Linked DNA regions of Saccharomyces cerevisiae S288C. The protein of the gene in region 2 purifies or fractionates together with the protein of the main gene of each other region. This does not show direct contact. Each region holds a gene or a part of one and is shown on either strand. Other genes may lie near its edges.

Evidence for each region.
Region 1: the proteins of CIC1 (region 2) and PUF6 purify together in Saccharomyces cerevisiae (affinity purification with mass spectrometry; 6 studies listed by BioGRID, with this or other methods). This does not show direct contact.
Region 3: the proteins of CIC1 (region 2) and SPB4 purify together in Saccharomyces cerevisiae (affinity purification with mass spectrometry; 7 studies listed by BioGRID). This does not show direct contact.
Region 4: the proteins of CIC1 (region 2) and NOC2 purify together in Saccharomyces cerevisiae (affinity purification with mass spectrometry; 8 studies listed by BioGRID, with this or other methods). This does not show direct contact.

Annotation. Positions count from the first base shown.
Region 1 is NC_001136.10:1,440,616-1,445,764, forward strand, and holds PUF6 (Puf6p), read right to left. Parts: upstream 2,789-5,149; coding exon 818-2,788; downstream 1-817. Other genes in the region: CORVET complex subunit VPS3, read right to left, coding at 1-535; myo-inositol transporter ITR1, read right to left, coding at 3,098-4,852. UniProt on the Saccharomyces cerevisiae protein: RNA-binding protein involved in post-transcriptional regulation. Component of the ASH1 mRNP which transports the ASH1 mRNA to the distal tip of the bud, where the ASH1 protein is translated and targeted to the daughter cell nucleus.
Region 2 is NC_001140.6:208,838-212,782, reverse strand, and holds CIC1 (Cic1p), read right to left. Parts: upstream 1,936-3,945; coding exon 805-1,935; downstream 1-804. Other genes in the region: metallothionein CUP1-1, read left to right, coding at 63-248; YHR052C-B (uncharacterized protein), read left to right, coding at 91-264; COX6 (cytochrome c oxidase subunit VI), read right to left, coding at 2,632-3,078; YHR050W-A (uncharacterized protein), read right to left, coding at 3,138-3,308; divalent metal ion transporter SMF2, read right to left, coding at 3,480-3,945. UniProt on the Saccharomyces cerevisiae protein: An adapter protein that specifically links the 26S proteasome to its substrate CDC4 which is one of the substrate recognition subunits of the SCF E3 ubiquitin ligase complex. Required for turnover of cell cycle regulatory proteins CDC4 and GRR1.
Region 3 is NC_001138.5:143,882-148,840, forward strand, and holds SPB4 (ATP-dependent RNA helicase SPB4), read right to left. Parts: upstream 3,054-4,959; coding exon 1,233-3,053; downstream 1-1,232. Other genes in the region: pseudouridine synthase DEG1, read left to right, coding at 3,250-4,578. UniProt on the Saccharomyces cerevisiae protein: ATP-binding RNA helicase involved in the biogenesis of 60S ribosomal subunits. Binds 90S pre-ribosomal particles and dissociates from pre-60S ribosomal particles after processing of 27SB pre-rRNA.
Region 4 is NC_001147.6:725,607-730,811, reverse strand, and holds NOC2 (mRNA-binding ribosome synthesis protein NOC2), read right to left. Parts: upstream 3,301-5,205; coding exon 1,168-3,300; downstream 1-1,167. Other genes in the region: DNA-directed RNA polymerase III core subunit RET1, read left to right, coding at 1-804; GEP3 (Gep3p), read left to right, coding at 3,578-5,205. UniProt on the Saccharomyces cerevisiae protein: Involved in the intranuclear transport of ribosomal precursors.

The DNA.
Region 1 (5,149 bases), on a different chromosome or scaffold from region 2:
CAAGCATATAGTTTCCACGTTCAAGTTCAAAGTAATGTAAAAGATCACCTGTAGTTGTTCCCAAGAATATGTGGTTCTCATACGCCTCACAACATGTGTATATCAAGTCAGATGGTACATTGTCTAATAGGGTAGAGATTGTAAAAGGACCTTCGCTTATTTTCAGTGGCAACCCTTTTTCCTGTTCATCATTCGTGGAGGTTTTTTCATTTAAGCTTGTAATATCTGTATTTATGACATTATCTTCTGCGCTGCTAGGCTGACAGCTTTCTTGTGCTGTGTTTTTATCAGTATGTGGACTGTCTTCGATTGGTCGACTCTCTTCCTGGGAAAATTTATCAGCTCGTACTGTTTCATTTGGGTTAGCATTATGTGTATTCGTCTCTTCACTTTCTGTTGCACGTAGACTATCATCTTCTGTTTTTTTTTTGTCATTTTCTCTTTCGTGAGGTGAGGATTCGCTATCTATATCGAGCTTTCCTTCATTTTCCTTTACTTCTTTTCCTTTGTCATTATTCGTTTTCTTTTTTACCATGGTTCTATAATATTATGGTTGCAACCAAAAAAAGGTAGTCTCCTTGACTGTTATGATAGTTCTGATTCACTAATGTCGTTATAAAATAGTAAGTACATATGAATATTTCCAGTTAAACTTGCCTTTTTTTCCCATCGGAACGGTATCTTCAACAGATATTATGCGATGTAAGGAGTTTTTAGGAGACAATTATATATACCTGCACTTTCAATGAGATCAAGCTTTTTATTATTATTGTACAGATGCTTATATACCAAATATTGTGACTTTATCGTAGAAAATTTATTTTAACAATTTAGCCAAAAGCTGAGAGCCTTTGTTACTTTCATCAGTGGTGATTTTACTCTGAACTCCTCTCAAATCCTTCAAAAATGGTTTCCCTTCTTTTTGATCTTTTAACGTTTCATACAGTGCAACAATTGTAAATGAACTATCAGCGTTATTAATCCATTCTAACAAGTTGGAGGAGTCAATAATTTCATCGTATAACTTTTCAGCAAATGGAACGCCTAAGCCTTGAACATTTTTTAATGGTATGACCTTTTTTTCTTTGTTATTCCATTTACCACCTTGAATTAGTGCCTTTAATAGTCTAGTAGAAAATGCTCTATGTATTGGGTGCTCTTCTTCGGTTATGTCACCCTTAAAAGTAGTTAAAATGTTGTTTAAGACCTGTTGATACTTTTCTTGGTCTTTTTCATTCAGCTGCGCGTACAACTCATCGTTTATTAGAACTTCGGCAATGAACTGACAGCCTAGATTCTCTGTCAATATACTGGAATAATCTTTTGATATAGTGCTTAAAAACATGGGGGCGAATTTTGACAAAAGTTCGTGCCTTCTTTGTAAAGGATCCTTCTTAGAGGTGGCTTTGGACAGTTCAATGTATCTCAATAATTCATTCTTGACGATAGGTGAGAAATACTTACCGTCCAAACCTAATAGTATGTATAACCAAGGCCTTCTACCAAACTTATCAATTATGAATTCTTGCAAATGTTCCTTAACAGTAGGACTGAAAGTCTTGAATACTAAAACTGTATCGTCAACACAGTTCAGAATTGTAATGAAGACAATATTACCGTACTCATTTTTGATCAATTTTTCGGCGTGGTTTTTCAAAGCCTTTAAAATTAACTTTCTTTCCTTGGCGTTAGCTCTAGCAACCAAAGTACAAGCAACGTCTGAACCTTCTGGAGTATGCACCAATTCAGCGAATTGTTCATGAAGCAATTCGATCATTTCAGATATTTCCTTTTCGTTGGCTATTTTCACATATTCTCTCATAGCAGCATGTAGAATTTGAAAGCCGGTGGAACCCTTTTCTACTGATGCGGTAATGGTACCAATCAAGTTTCTGGCGATAATATTCCTTTTTTCAATGCTACTTTCACAAACTTTCTCAATGGTCAAATCTTTGTGGGTTTCTCTAAATACAGCATATTCAGAGCCCCAAAACTCTTTAATCATTTGTTGTCTTTGTTCATGTGTGGCATAAAGAACAAATAAATCTTCAACAACGTAGGCACCCTCACGATGTCTCATTAATTTTCTCAAAGAACCGTGTAATTCATTTATTATAGTTTGCCTTGAACTTCTTGAACCATAATGCAGTAACTTAACCAATAGATACTTACCGTACGCAGATGTGGCTAGAACATAAAATTTTCCCTTTAAAGCATCGACAATTTGTTCACGACGATCTTTGGACGAATACTTGACTAAAGTTTGAACAATACGGGAAGCATCATGCTTTAAGACAAGATCACTGATACAGTCCTTAGATAGCTCCCAGATTTCGTTGGAAAGTTTTTCACGAATCTGTTTTGGTAAAGGTGGGGTCTTCACACGCAATCTTTCCCAGACGGATTTAATTTGTTGCACTTGGGTACCAGATTTTCTTTGCATTTTCCTTTCTTTTAGCAGTTTTCTTTGTTCAGTGTGATTTCCATTTTCACCTCCTTCAGATTTGTCCTTTCCTTCTTTCTCTTCATTCTCATTTTCATGTTCCTCACTGTCATCGGAAATATCTAATTCGTCAGCTTCTTCTTCTGCTTCAGAGTCACTGGTACTTAAATCATCCAAATCATCATCATCTGATGAAGAGGATACAGCATCTTCCTTTTTGGATAGTTCTGATTCTTCATCAGACGAATCAATAGAAATTCTAGGTTTTTTGGCTAATTTCTTTTCTGAATGACTAACTTCTTTAGCAGAACGTTTTCCGTTTGTCTTCTTGGTTAAAGGTGCCATTGTCAGTTAATTTGTTATTCCTGATTGTGCTTTATTTCAGTACTCTATAATAAAACGCTTTCACCTTCGAAATACTTTAGGTAGGCATCTCATCTCATCCCAGCAAAAAAAATTTTCAGTATTTCTCTCAAGGTGAAAAAAAAAAAAGGTCTTCAATGCCGGGTTAGTTAATCTTCTATATATGCATACAACAATTAGTTCGACTTAAATACAATGAACTTTTTTCTATCTTGTAATTTATTTTTATTTATTTTCTACTATGTATTTGAATATTCAATTGCGTCTCCTTCCTTTTACCTCGTGAAAGGACTATATATCCTCTATAATCTCTTGAGTTGGTTCATATTTCAATTCATGAACTCTGGCAACTTGCTGTTTTCTCTTCTTGGCCAAAGCTTTCGAGGCTTTGATGTTGAACCCGTCCTTCAAAATAGTTTGTACCTCTTCTAACTCCAATCCCGATAATTCTGGATAACAGAAGTAGCAGAAAATGGTTGATAAGCACGACAATCCCGCGAAAAAGGCAAATGTACCTGCAGGAGTGATATTCTGTAACATGGTCAAAAATGTGGATGCAATAACCAGTGAACCAGCCCAGTTTGTAGCAGTTGCATATGAAGTCCCAATACCTCTCACGTTTTGGGGGAATAGTTCCGATTGTTGCCATGGAACAGTACCGATACCAAGAGCGTAGAACGCAGCAAATACGATAATAAATACGATGATCACAATACCCCAAGAGGAGAAACCGGAGGAAACCACCACAGCGACAGCGCCATCAAACTTAATACCTAGAAAATGGAAAGCAATAGAGCACACGACTAAAGCCATGGTCATGCCTGGTAATCCAATCAATAATATGGTTCTACGGCCTATTTTGTCAATGGAAAAAAAGGCAACTAAAGTGAAAATAAAATTGGTACCGGACACGATGATTGAAACAGCGGAAGAATTTTTGAAACCGACAGTTTCGAAGATGGTACCAGAGAAATACATCAACGAATTCCAACCGGTAAACTGTTGAATTGCTTGTAAACCACAACCAATGATCAAAGCCCTTAGATTAGATGGTACTGTGTGCAATTCTTTGATGGTATTCCAGACTTTTTCAGGGACATTCTTACCAGGAATAGATTGATTCAAAGTAACAAGTTCTTCCACCTTACGTTCAATGATTTCCTCCGAAGTGTCAGTGTAACTTCTCTTCAACACCTCAGTAGCCCTTGCCAAGTCGCCCTTCATAACGTAGTATCTTGGAGTGTCAGGTAAAAAGCACAGGCATGTGAATTGCACAGCAGTGGGAATTAGTGACAATCCAACAAGAATTCTCCAACCATTGTTGACGTAGTTTAACCCAGCACCGCAACCGTAAGCGACTAATTGACCACCAGTCAACCATAAGGAATTGATGACAGTTAGTCTCCCTCTGATCATTTTGGGAGCAATTTCACTGATGAAAAGTGGCGCGATCAAGGAGCCGATACCGACACCGAAACCCATGATCAGTCTACCAACAGCCATTTGCCAGAATGTGTGTGCGGAGACCTGTAAGATTGCGCCAATGACAAACATCAGATTCGAACCCATTAAACAACGTTTCCTACCAAATATGTCAGCTGCAGTACCGGCGAAAATACTGGTAATCAAAGCTCCCAGAGAGGTAGCCGCAGTGACAATTTCCTTCTCCCCATAAGTAAGTACCTTGTGGTCCAGATCTGTGCCGATCGAGATCAGCGCACTGGATATATAACCAGTGTCGTAACCAAACATGAAACCGGATATGGATGCGACAAAAGTCAGAGTGATGATGAAGGGCGAAAGAGATTGGTTAAAAGTGATCATGACCGACGTGTCATCCTCGTCGTTCACGGGTTTAATTTGAATCCTATCTTCATCATCGCTAGCGGGAGCCCTCTGTATTTCATGTGACTCAAGTGTAATTTTACCTCTCTTTGAAGGTGAGTCATGCTCACTGTTGAACTCTACACTATCAGCGTTGCCAACGGCATCACCAACATTTGATTGCGATGTCTTTGACGTGAGATATGGTATGTGTATTCCCATTTTAACACCCACTGCAGAAACAAAGAAAATGAAAGAGATGTATACAGTAGGACGACCAATAAATCTGAATAGCGCACCAAACTGAAAGAGAAGAATAGAGCAAACACCTGCCAAAGAAAAGCCCAAGTGTGAAAGGTCTTTTCTCAACTATGGCTTGATTCCTTTTATATTTTTTCCATTTTGCAACAGCGCGTTGAGCTTGGTCGAGCTTTTTTCACATGCGGTGGGGAAGGCGTATTTAGCGCAACCAGTGGGGGGTATAAGCTATACCTAACGCATGTGAAGAGAACAGAAACA
Region 2 (3,945 bases):
GTCATCGAAATAGATATTAAGAAAAACAAACTGTACAATCAATCAATCAATCATCACATAAAATGTTCAGCGAATTAATTAACTTCCAAAATGAAGGTCATGAGTGCCAATGCCAATGTGGTAGCTGCAAAAATAATGAACAATGCCAAAAATCATGTAGCTGCCCAACGGGGTGTAACAGCGACGACAAATGCCCCTGCGGTAACAAGTCTGAAGAAACCAAGAAGTCATGCTGCTCTGGGAAATGAAACGAATAGTCTTTAATATATTCATCTAACTATTTGCTGTTTTTAATTTTTAAAAGGAGAAGGAAGTTTAATCGACGATTCTACTCAGTTTGAGTACACTTATGTATTTTGTTTAGATACTTTGTTAATTTATAGGTATACGTTAATAATTAAGAAAAGGAAATAAAGTATCTCCATATGTCGCCCCAAGAATAAAATATTATTACCAAATTCTAGTTTGCCTAACTTACAACTCTGTATAGAATCCCCAGATTTCGAATAAAAAAAAAGCATATGTATTAATCCTAAAATGTATTATGAGAACGTCTTTTAAAGGTAAAATGCTGTTATCCCCGTCACTTTCAATGATCTATTTATTTGAAGCGGATAGTACAACAGATCAGTCTAAAACGTATAAGCTCTTAGACCGAGAAACCAATATTCAAATAATGACTTTATTTTTAATATACACTTCAAACATATATAGATATATACATATGCACCGCACTCTATGAAATTCAAATTTTTTTCTTCACAAGAAAAAAATGAGAGAAAAGATAGATAAGGAGGAAACAAATTAACTTTTAGCCTTCTTGACAGCTTCTGACTCGCTAGATTCTTTTTCAAGCTCGCTAGAAGATCTCTTTTTTGCATTGTTAATTTGTTTAGAGAAAATTGAACCCAATTCGGAAGGATTGGCGATTTCCATCAAACCCTTGTTGAAGGTAGACAAATGAACTTGTACACCATCAATGGTGACCATGTCATCTTCGTGGGTTTCTTCGATTTTGTCCTTTTTAGCTTCAAGTTCATCAAGAACGTCCTGGTTATAGTATAATGGCAATACGGGCGACCTATTGGTCTTGATAAAAATGGATCTGATTTGGTATGCTTTGATTAACTGTTCAGAAATTAATTCAACGTTATCTACAAACTCTTCTGGCCTTAACCATTCTAAATTACCCAAATGGACATTCAACGTGGTACCTCTTGGAAGTTTAACGGGCAACTGATTCATGTAAACCTTTTTGATATTGTTCGTCAAAGTGGTCAAGGAAAATTCCTTATTTGCATGTGTTCTAATTGATATAGGAGTAGTTTCTACTTTGTTGTAGGCTTTGCCTCCCATAAGTTTTGGCAAAGATGTAACTATACTGTCGTCAGCCAAAATCAAAGAAAACTGAGATATAAAAGCGTTTCTAGCCTCATATGCCTTGTAAACGGTCTTTAAGTCTTTCCCGCAAATGATTTCATCAACCTTGATTCCTTCTGAATCTAATTGATCAAATAAATCATCTTCTGAAACTTTCTTAATATCAGAATCCTTCAAAATTAATAAAACTTTGAAATCCTTAACCGCTGTTGCACTGGCTTCTTTCCAAGGCTTGTAAAACGAATGTTTGACATTTAGTAATTTCAATTTGAATGATTTGGAAGTACCGGTGAATGATTTATTATTTACTACGATTAATTGCAGATCTTTCTTCAATTCTTCTTCATCATCTTCCAATAGGTTTTTCTTACCGTTATTTCCTTCTTCATTATTTTCATCTTGTGGCTTGGAAGTGAATTTTATAAGCTCGTTGACAGCTTTAATAACTCTTTCCCTAGGAATGGCTGTGGAAGATTTCTTTTCAATAACCTTCTTCTTTTCTTTGCTTGGTGTACTTACAGGCGTAGATTTCTTTGAGTTACTCTTTTTAGCCATTTTATACTTTATAGTCTGGAACGTAGGTTTATCTGCCTGCTGTCTAATATTTCTTATAAAACAGACACTATTCTTTATGCAGTATACAAACGCTTTTTGTTACTTTTCAAAATTTGCGATGAGCTCCAGTGGAAAAATTTTTTTCAGGAAATTGTCTTTAATTTTTTTAGTATGAAGTGACATCAACTTCACATTTATTGACGCAACGGTGAAGCACAGAATAGAATAGTAATTCTTTAATGGTATATTCTAGGTTTTTGTTTTTTATATAGTTATTTATTGTTTTATTATTTTTCCCATTCTTCTTTCCTGAAATAGAACACAAAAAAGCTACTAACAAAGGATATTAAAGGTAATCTGTGACCAGCCCTCATTACCAAAAATAAAGTTTGTTCAAGTAATAGAGTAGAGAAAACAAAGTGGAAATCATAATGGTTAAATTTAAATATTTTTCTTTTACTTTTCTTATTTCACCTCTTGTGATCTTATCGTTGATTTTGATATATTAGTTTCTGAGTGGATGAATATCCATAAAGGGTAAAACAAATAATAAGGTAAAAGGGAAGAAAAAAAAAAAATAAAAACTAAAATCGTTTTACAAAATAAATACGAATCTTATTTCAAATTGAGGAATTTTCCACAAATAAAAAAAGGACAACAAATTACAGACGTTGTGTGGTAGCTTTTTCCTTATTATTAAGAAGAGCTTGGAAATAGCTCTTCCTTTAAGGGAACGCCCAATTCTTGTCTGACATCCTTCAATTCATCCAAGTAGGCCTTGTATTGGTCTTCATTCTCCACCTTGTATTTCAAAGCCTCAAATACTCTAATTGCGGTAGGTAAGTCATTGACTCTTCTGGCAGCCCTCAAAGCTTTTTCAATAACAGCAGGAGCAGGAACTAAATCATAGGAAAAACAGTTGTTGAGCACTCTTTGCACTTCAAACAAATCATAGGCTTCATCAAACTCCTTTTCGTATCTTGCGGTGAATTCCTCAAAGGTTTCTTCATCATGTGCGTCAGAATACTTCCTACTTTGAATAAACGTATTTTTAGTCAATCTAGTTGCATGATAAGCACCAGGTCTGGCTCTCAATAAAGTTCTATTTATAACTGGATTTCTGAATATGGCCCTTGATAACATTGTTGTATATTTATTAGTTTATGTGTCAAATACAATTGTTCGGCTGTTTATCTCCGCTACTAAGTCTCAGAAGTGATACAATTTTTCAAATTGTAATAATAAATAAGTGTGCTAAAATGTGGATGAAATGTAAAGAAATGAGGTAACCTTGAGATCTGGCACCTTGATAAGCAAGAGCAATTGTTGATCTTTATTAATGCTTTGACCGGACCAATTAGGTCCCTTTTCATAGGGAGATTCAAAGAAAGCTGTAAGCGGCGGAAATAACGCGCGGGGCCCTGATTGGCTCGTATGGAGCGATACGGCCATCAGTATAGCCTAACACCAACTTTTTGATTGGAATTTTCTGTTATTATTCTTGGATAAAATGTATACTTATACTAGTCTAAAGAATTGTTATATTAGAGGTGTACTTCTTTGCCCGTAGTAAAGCCCAGTAACATATAAAAGTTCAGTCCGGAGATAATCAACCATACTATGATTGCGAGCACGGTGACGATCATTCCATTGCTCATGTCTTTGTATTCTGGAGCAGGAGAAACTAAGCTGCGCTCCTGTGAGCTGCTGCCTATGCCCATTTCTTCGAGCTCAATGGTCTCATCATCTTCGGTTCGGTCGGCCACGGGTTTTTTGTCTGTAGTTCTTGAAAGTTCTTTGGTACGGTTAAGCTGTACACGCATAATCTTCTTGCTTGAAGTGAAGTAAAGTAAAGGTGCAGAAACAAAAGGCAGCAAGAGAGAAAGTACCACTTGGGAAGCATTTAGTGCACCAGAGAGGCCGCTACGTCCAGCTACAAGCACTAAAATCAAACAAGGCGTGATGGCTACCGCTCTTGTGGCGGATCTTCTCAATGCCGGAGAAACAGTC
Region 3 (4,959 bases), on a different chromosome or scaffold from region 2:
TATTATAGCCTTAATCAACAATGGAATCCCAACAATTATCTCAAAATTCACCAATATCTCAGAGACTATATCTGAAACAAACAAAGACGTATAGTCCAAAGCAATATTCAAGGAAACTACAAAGTGAGATTAGCTACGTAGAAATAGGAGAAAAAGTATAAATTTAAAGTTAAATTCAGATCTCAAATTCTCTTAATATTTGAAATAAATCCGCTGCGTGACAAATCCCGTGATGATCTCGGAATATTTATATGTTACCATTTATACTTATGGTAGAATTATACTCACTAATGAATGTACGGTTACTATTTGGAACAAGTGGTCATCAATTGCCATAGTAACATTTTGAATGCTTGCATCGTGCATGAATACATACCGCATATATGTTTAAGTATGAATATACCTGTTAAAGAAAGTAATGAATCTGTATTGAAGAACCGTAGGTTTGACATGATCTGGTCGTTATATATACGCGTAATATGACTAGTCAAACTAAATGTATGACAAGTTCCAGAACTACTATTACATTGATCATAAGTAATAATACACAAATCAGCGTGTGTTTTATACTTCTCTTATATAGTATAAGAAGATCCATATTTAATCTTCATTAACACTACTTCTTAACCTCTAATTACCAACGGGTCAATGTTAGGATAATTGTTGGCATTCCATTGTTATTAAAGGGAATCAAAGTATATTAAAAATTCTTCCCAAGGATGTAATAACCTAAAAAAGGAAGCCCATATTTCTATATAATGTTATTAATATTTTCTTTTTCATATTATTGTCGCCACTCTTTATTCCATTACATTATCAAGTCTTGCATTTCGGCTTCCATTAAATTTGATGATTATTTCTCAGTCTTTGTGCCATCTACTCACACTCAATTTTAATATAGTGTTAATATGAATACTAATCAATGAGCGATCATTGGTTCCATTACAATAACGTTGTGATCGGAACTTATTTTGAAGTTATTCCTGTCGACTGCCTGATGTCAGTATTGAGGCTGTTTGATTATTTCTGAACATAATATCCTTTTCCTGTTACAAGTACATGCTGAACAAGAGATATATATTATGCTTTAAGATGGAGTATAATGGTTTTAGAATATTTTAAATTAAGTATGCATACACAAATAATCTACTTACTCACTATGATGCTACAAGATCATCCATTGGTTAAGAATGTTGAGTGATTCTACGAACAAGGTAACTTTTTTTCCATAATTATAAGTCGTCAAAATTGCCTTGGATAGCTTTGCTGGAAACTTTCTTCCGTTTATTCTGTAAAACGATTTCTTTCCAATCCTCTTTAATACGCTCTTCTTCAGCATTTTCATCGAGCTCTTCTGCTTTCAATTCTTCCTCTATAGCCTTCCTTTTTAAACTCATCTTTTCCTTTCTCTCGAGTTTCCGTTCTTTCGTCAATGTTTTATCTGACCACGCTAAATTCTTCTTCTTCAACTCACTTTTCAGCTTCTTTTTATCATTAATCAGGCTTATATTTTTTAATGTTTCTTGTCTCTCCTTTTCACGTTTTTTGTCCTTGTATTTATATTCATCCATATTAACTGGGGGATCGACCAACCAATTCCCTGGGAAAATCCCTTCTTGTTTTTCGGTGGCTAAGTACTTTGTTATCTCAGGCATTCTAGGCAGGCGGAAAAGACCATACAATTTCGCAATACCAACATAATCTAAAGATTGAAGCCTAAAAATTGAAGTTGCGGAATGATTTGAGTAGTATTTAATAAAGGCAACATATGCTTTAACACCTTTATCAAATCTATCCCTATCTTCTAGTATCCAATTTCTAAAGTCCTCGTAAAAGTTTGTTGTTATGCCCTTTACTTCCAAATCAAGTTCTTCAAGTTCCACATTTTTAACTTGCATGAAAGGAATAAAATCCTCTTCTCTGCCTTCATTAAGAAACGTAATTGCTTTACCCACTCTATTTGCTCTACCAGTTCTACCACATCTATGCATGAACATATCAGTATTGGTAGGGGGATCAAGCTGGATGACGAGATCAACGTCGGGTATGTCAATACCTCTAGCAGCCACATCTGTTGTGAATAAAACAGAATTACTTAGCGAATCAGTAAAAGCTGTTAGAGTTTTTGTCCTTGCCGATGTTTGAAGTTTTCCATGCAAGGAAAATATTTCTACTTCATTCACGAGAATATTCCTCTTTCCCAAATACTGGATAAATGAGTAGAAGTAGGAGACTGACACACATGTTGGAAAATATACAATACATTTCTTGAATTTGTAGTTATTCAAAATGCTAACCAAAAGTTGTAGTTTTTCGGCAGGATTTACGACACAGTAATTTAATTTCAAAGAGGAGGGCGCCTGGTTCTTAGAGTTAACGGTAATCCTGACAGGATTTCTAAGCCCTGTCTTAAAGATATCTGATCCGGCGCTACGCATAGTTGCAGAAAATAGACCCGTCCTTCTTTGTTTAGGCAATAGCCTCAGAATTTTTTCGGTATCCTTAATAAAACTCATATCCAACAATCTGTCTGCTTCATCCATAACTACCATACTGCATGCTGACGTCTTTACTGCTGGCATTTGTAAAAAGTCCAAAACTCTACCAGGTGTTCCAATCAGAATCTGCGGTCTATTCCGCAGAAAATTACTTACATCATCTCTAACTGTGGCTTCATTAGTACCAACCAGGAGCTGACATTTAATAGGGAACAAGTCGGAAGGATAATGTTCCAGAAATGATAGAACGACAGACTCAATTTGGCGTGACAATTCTCTTGTTGGAGCAATAATTAACGAGTGGAAGTGTGCTTTCTTGAATTTTGATGTATTCGCTTCTTCCTTTACAACTTTTTCTAGTACAGGTATAACAAACGCAGCGGTCTTACCTGAGCCTGTTACAGAATCAACTACTACATCCTTGTTGCCAGCAAGCATGGGAATTGTCGATGCTTGGACTGGAGTCATGGTCTCAAAACCCATAACATCGAGTCCTGTCCTTATCCAGGGAAGTAAAGAAAACCCGAGATTATCCCATTCCAATGACTTTGACATTGTTTTTATTGCTGCTGAGCTTTTAATATTATCTTACTACACCTCAAATCAATGGGCTCAGCTCATCTTGAAAAGCTCACTTTGTTTTTCAGTGAAAAATTTTTGAAAGCGAAAAGCCGGCTCAAAATAAAGAATAATATAGTATTCTCGAGGTGCCCACATGCAATCTTTACTGCCCTACTATAACCTCCCTTGAATGAGTAATTTCATTAGAAGGCTAGTTGGGAAAATGAAAGCGATTTCAACAGGTACCAATGCTATTGTTAGTAAGAAGGACTCCATTTACGCAAACTGGTCCAAAGAGCAGCTAATACGAAGGATCACTGAACTAGAAAACGCAAATAAGCCACATTCTGAAAAATTCCAGCACATCGAGGATAACAAAAAGCGCAAAATTTCGCAAGAAGAGGTTACGAGAAGCAAGGCGAAAAAGGCTCCGAAGAAGTTTGACTTTTCTAAACATAATACCAGGTTCATCGCCTTGAGATTTGCCTATTTGGGATGGAATTACAATGGCTTAGCTGTTCAGAAGGAATACACACCGTTGCCTACAGTAGAGGGTACCATTTTGGAGGCCATGAATAAGTGTAAACTTGTTCCCTCGATGGTTTTACAAGACTATAAATTTAGCAGATGTGGCAGAACAGACAAGGGAGTTAGCGCCATGAACCAAGTTATATCGTTAGAAGTCCGTTCCAATTTAACAGATGAGGAACAGCGGGATCCGACCAACGACAGCAGGGAAATACCCTATGTTCACGTTTTAAATCAATTACTACCCGACGATATTCGTATATCAGCTGTCTGCCTCAGACCGCCACCTAACTTTGACGCAAGATTCAGCTGTGTTCACCGGCACTATAAGTACATCTTTAATGGAAAAAACCTTAATATTGAAAAAATGTCTAAAGCCGCATCATATTTTGTTGGAGAGAGAGACTTCAGGAATTTTTGTAAGCTTGATGGCTCAAAACAAATTACCAATTTTAAACGAACAATAATAAGCTCAAAAATTCTTCCCCTTTCTGAAACTTTCTATTGTTTTGATCTCGTTGGTTCAGCATTCCTATGGCACCAAGTTCGTTGCATGATGGCCATTCTTTTCTTAGTTGGTCAATCACTTGAAGTGCCGGAAATTGTCTTGCGTCTGACTGATATTGAGAAAACCCCTCAAAGGCCTGTTTACGAAATGGCAAATGATATACCATTATTGTTATATGATTGTAAATTTCCTGAAATGGATTGGCAAGAACCTACTGTAGATGACTATAAGGCAATAAAATTCACGACAGCTACTGAAGCATTGACGTTACACTACGAACTTAAGGCCGCAGTATGCAATATTTTTAAAGATGTTTTGCCCACAGCAAATACAAACAACTTCTCAAAGACAATTATTAATTTGGGCGATGGAAGAGGTAAAGTAGTCGGTACCTATGTGAAACTAGAGGATAGAAGCGTTATGGAACCTGTCGAAGTTGTTAATGCTAAATACTCCAAGAAAAAGAACAACAAAAATAAGTAAAATAATATATAAACCTGTATAATATAACCTTGAAGACTATATTTCTTTTCATCACGTGCTATAAAAATAATTATAATTTAAATTTTTTAATATAAATATATAAATTAAAAATAGAAAGTAAAAAAAGAAATTAAAGAAAAAATAGTTTTTGTTTTCCGAAGATGTAAAATAGGTTGAAAGTTAGAAATTAGTATTATAATAGCAAAAAAAATTTAAAGTTAGAAATTAGAATTTAAGGCTCTACACACGTTTACGATGATATTGGACGACCGACACGAAAAGACAGTTTTAGGCTTTCTTTTGTCTTGCTCTTGCGTTGAAAGTACGTAATTTCCATTCGATTACTTACTCAACACTTGATATAGAGACCAACTATAAAAT
Region 4 (5,205 bases), on a different chromosome or scaffold from region 2:
CAAGTTATGATGTCTGTTTCGGATAACGATCAAGCTTTAATCAAAGTTTTGCTAAGACAAAACAGAAGGCCAGAATTAGGTGACAAATTTTCTTCTAGACATGGTCAAAAAGGTGTTTGTGGTATTATTGTAAAGCAAGAAGACATGCCCTTCAACGATCAAGGTATAGTTCCAGACATTATCATGAACCCTCACGGTTTTCCATCTCGTATGACTGTGGGTAAAATGATCGAACTGATATCGGGTAAAGCTGGTGTATTGAATGGTACATTGGAATATGGTACTTGTTTTGGTGGTTCTAAACTTGAAGATATGTCTAAGATTTTGGTAGACCAAGGTTTCAACTATTCCGGTAAGGATATGTTATATTCAGGTATAACAGGTGAGTGTTTACAGGCTTACATCTTTTTTGGCCCCATTTACTATCAAAAGTTAAAGCATATGGTCTTAGATAAGATGCATGCAAGAGCTCGTGGTCCAAGGGCTGTTTTGACACGTCAACCAACTGAGGGTAGATCTAGAGATGGTGGTCTGAGGTTGGGTGAGATGGAGAGGGATTGTGTAATCGCGTATGGTGCTTCACAATTGCTGTTAGAAAGGTTGATGATTAGTTCAGATGCTTTTGAAGTTGATGTCTGCGATAAATGTGGATTAATGGGCTATAGTGGTTGGTGTACTACCTGCAAAAGTGCTGAGAATATTATTAAGATGACTATTCCATATGCAGCAAAACTGTTATTCCAGGAATTATTATCCATGAACATAGCCCCAAGATTAAGATTGGAAGATATCTTCCAGCAGTAAGAAATCATATATCTTGTACTAAATTTTGCGTTATGTTAGCAATCATATCTATTTCGTGAGGAACTTTAAGAGAGTTGAACGATTTCGAAAATTATATAACAGTAAACCGTACTTCTTTCATTTTTGTACCTTGCTTTACATCATTACTTTTTATAAGATCCATCGAACGTTTGACGTGTTTTCTATCCATAAACCGGCCAAAATATAAAAATATCCAGCTGACAAGAGAAAGCTTGGAGTGCTCACATGTTAGCACATGTGAGCACAATGATATATACGCTTTAAAAAAGACTTTTCTTTATTTTACACATTTATAGACTTAACTATTGAATTCAAGACAAAAAATCAAATCTTGCTGAGTTGTTAAGCGTCTGACATTTCAACATCTTCGTTGTCATCATCACTTTCCAGACTGTTTAATAATTTTGCTTCTTCTGTTTCTCTTTCTTTGTCTTGTTCTTCCATACTTTCTCTCATTAATCTGGCCTTTTCTTCCTTAACTTCACGTTGTACTGCAACATAAGAACCTAAAGGTGTTTTATTCCAAGCTACATCATTCAAAAATCTTGAAACTTCAGATTTGTTTGTTGGCCCAAATTCAACATCTGATCTCTTTTCTTGGATGAATGTGCTGTTTTGGTTCAATTTTTCTACAACAGTTGATAAACGTTTGTTAAGTTTGACATTAGTTGAAGTCTTGATGTAACGGCGTAAAGAGATAATAACCGGTGTTACAAGTTCAGGAAATGCAATGTTTTTACAGTACAGAGCAAAATAATCGCCCAATAAGTCCACAAACTGTTCTGACAAACCCTCTTGGTATATTTTTGTATTCAGATAAGCTTGCGTACATTTGATGTTGTGCTCAAAATCGAAAGCAGCCAAGTTAGGGCTCTTTTTGGGTGCCTTAGTGAAAGCCGTTGAGGTTAAAATTTCAGAAAGTAAAGGATATATTGGAATAAAAACACCACTATTTTGAGAAAGTCTAATAAGTGATTTAATCAAATAAAATCTTAATGGGAAGAATTGTGGTGTTGGGATTAATCTGATTACACCCAAAGTAACCTGAACCAATGGGTAAATTAATTGTCGTAAAGGAGATTCACTGCCATTTTCCTTTTCTGGTTGACAAGCAAACGATAGTACACGAGACCAGAAATCCAAGGAGTGACAGAATTGCCAGTTGTATACAATCTTGTAAGCTTCTGCGGAATTAATTTTACTGGATTTTTTAGTTGTCGCGTTCATTGTATTTCTTAAATGAATTGCCAATTGCCTAATATACTCAAATCCAACTTGGTAACCTAGAACTTCATCGATACCGAACAATTCAGCTGCCGAATTTTTTTGAAAATTAATCAGTGGCATAGAACGCATATTCGTTTTACGACAACTTTTGATAAAAGTGGAGTACGTTGTTTTTAAGGTTGTTTCTAGCATAGACTTCTTGAACTCTTTGGTGGTATTGATCAAAAAGGCAAAAGAAGCAATCTGGGTTTCTAATTCTCTCGTTGTAGACCATACTCCAACAATTGATTTAATAAGCTCCTTTAAGATCCTTCTGTATGATAAAAGATAAGGCATCAATTCGTTGACAGAATGAAGAACTAATGCTGCTGTTTCCGTATTAGTAATATCATTCAATAAAATCAACAAAGAGCCAGCATGCGACTTGACAATGGACGAGACCCTGGAGACGTTACCTCCATTTGGTAAGGTCCTTGCGCCTTTTACAATCTTGTATGGGGCCATCTTTTGAATCGCTTGTGGTACATCTTTCAAGACCATGAACATCAATTCGTGGAATGCTTTCTCATCAGTGATAGCATATTTATAGTCTTCGATGTTTTCTTCCTTGTTCAAATTTACAGCAACCTTGAAAGCACTGATTATGTTCCTTAGTAATTTTAAGCTTGGAGAATCATGAAGTTGTTTTTTCCATTTCCTAACCAATTTCAAAGAAAGCTCAATTTTTTCCTTTTCCAGCTCCATTTGTTCAGATTTTTCTTCAATATTACTGTTTCTTTCAGCATCTTCACCTTCATCTTGACTATCAATTCCATCCAATGGATTGGTACCTGCGAAGTCCAATAAATCTTTATCATTTTCCTCCAAATACTTATAAAATTCGGGATCCTTTTCGGCCAACTTTGCCATGCTTTGTCCCATGTCTTCCTCCTCTTCGGAAGAGGAGGAATCTTCATCAGATTGCTCTTTCGTAGTTTTTTTCTTCAATTTTTTATTCTCTTTTGGAATTTCGATGCCCTTTTCAAAAAAAGTTTCGACAGACATGTCCTTAAAAACCTCTTCCTTTGCAGATTTTTTCAACTGCTGTTGTTCCCTAGTACCAGCAGCATCGGCCTTTTCCTGATCAGTTTTGTTGCCACGACGGCCTTGGATTCTCTTCTTTTGGATCTTTTCCTTTCTTCTTTGGTCTAGAGTATGCTTCAAATGCTTCGATTGAAACTTCTTGGTCGATTTAGAAACTTTACCCATCTCCACTTATTCTATTGTTGACCTTCTCTATCTCTCTTACAATTCAAAAATTAGTATAAATGAATTTACCCATGTACAAGTATTCTGTTTCTCTATTTTCTCTGTAAATATCATGCTCATCTCATCGGAAGAAAAAATTCAGAAAATTTTTCAAAACTCGTCGAAGATGATAACTACTATTTGATGTTATGGGTCAAGATACATTTAACAGAGCAATATTAACGAAGGACCTTCCTAGTAACACGTCTAATTACTTTGAACAATTCAATATGCGGGAATGTTGAATCTGTGTCATGCTCTTCGAGGCGTACGTCAGTTTTCCTGTTCTGTGATTGTGAAAGTGAAATGTGCGTCATGTTCCATAAAACTACAGGATCAGGATCCTAGTAAACCAGGATATTATACGAAGCCAAAAAGTCTACCCGACTCAAAACTAAATCCTGACCTCCAAGATCTGAAGTATTTGCTATTCAGTCAAGACATACAGCTCTCGAAACAGGCAACTCAAAATGATCCTGACCTCAAAACCAAAAGAGATTTACTATTGAGAGTGATTTGCAAAAGGTGCAGTAATGCCCTTCATCATAACAATTATAACCCGGAAGAGTTTCCCGAAAGCACATTAAATGATATTCTGAACTACGTCCCCAGAGGCTCAAATGTTATGCATATTGTCCCCTTTGTAGAATTTCCCTTACATTTAGACCCCAATGTTTTGAAACGAAATGATTTAGATACTACATTAGTGTTAACGAAAAGCGATCAAGTTTTTAAAGATAAAAATGCTGTCAGCAAAAAGGTTCCTATATTCATGAAGCAATTTTTAAAGAACACTTTAAGAATTGACTCAAATAAAACATTCGCCATATCTGCGCTGAAAAACTGGAACATATCCATGTTTTACAACTACTTTAAAAACTACACATATTTGCTAGGCAACCCTAATGTTGGTAAATCAACTTTGATCAATACTCTACTACAGAAATATCTTGGATATAAGGTTAAAATTGATTCTACTGGGAAAATTAACTCCCCCTCTGAAGAAGTGATGCAAGAAGCTTTTACGAACCCGAAGAATTTTTTCAAGATTCAAGCTGCTGGTGTATCACATATTCCCAATTTAACTAGATCCGTACAAGCCTACCAAGTTGGAGGTAAAATACTTTTTGATCTTCCAGGCTATTCAACTTCCACCTCCAGATTACGCCTAGAAGAACTAATCGACGAGCGTTGGCTTCAAAGGCTGCGAAAAACCGATTTATTCAATCGGAAGCATATAAAACAGAAGACTTATGAGTCTATGAAGGGCACATCACAGGGAGGCTGTTATACCGTGGGAGGGATTTTCTACCTGGTACCTCCGAAAGGATCCATAAATCAGATTGTGAAATACATACCAGGACCATCAAAAACATTCAAGAACATTGAAAAAGGTATTGATGTATTCAACTCGTGCAATTCATCATCTGGCACACATCCGTTATCACGGTATTGTGGAATTAAAAGCGTTATATGCGAAAAAAGCCAGTACAAAAGGTACGCAATACCTCCATTTATTGGAAGTATAGAGATCGTTCTGAAAGATATAGGATATATTTTATTAAGGACAACTGGGAGGTATGAGTTCAAAGGACTACATGAGATATGGATACCTAGGGGTATCCAAGTAGGTATAAGGGAACCGCTAGAAAACTTGATTGAGTCTGGCTACCAGCGTTACATTGAAACAAATGGTAAAGAGTCAAGCTGTCCCAGAGATAGACCGATCATCAGTTCCCTGTATGAGATGGCCCCGGATGAAGCTGATACTTTGAACGCAGTGAAGAAGTCGTATTTAGAAAAAACCGAGAAAGATTTATCTGCTAGAAGATTTGTCGACGATGATCCTTATGATTTGGTTCAACA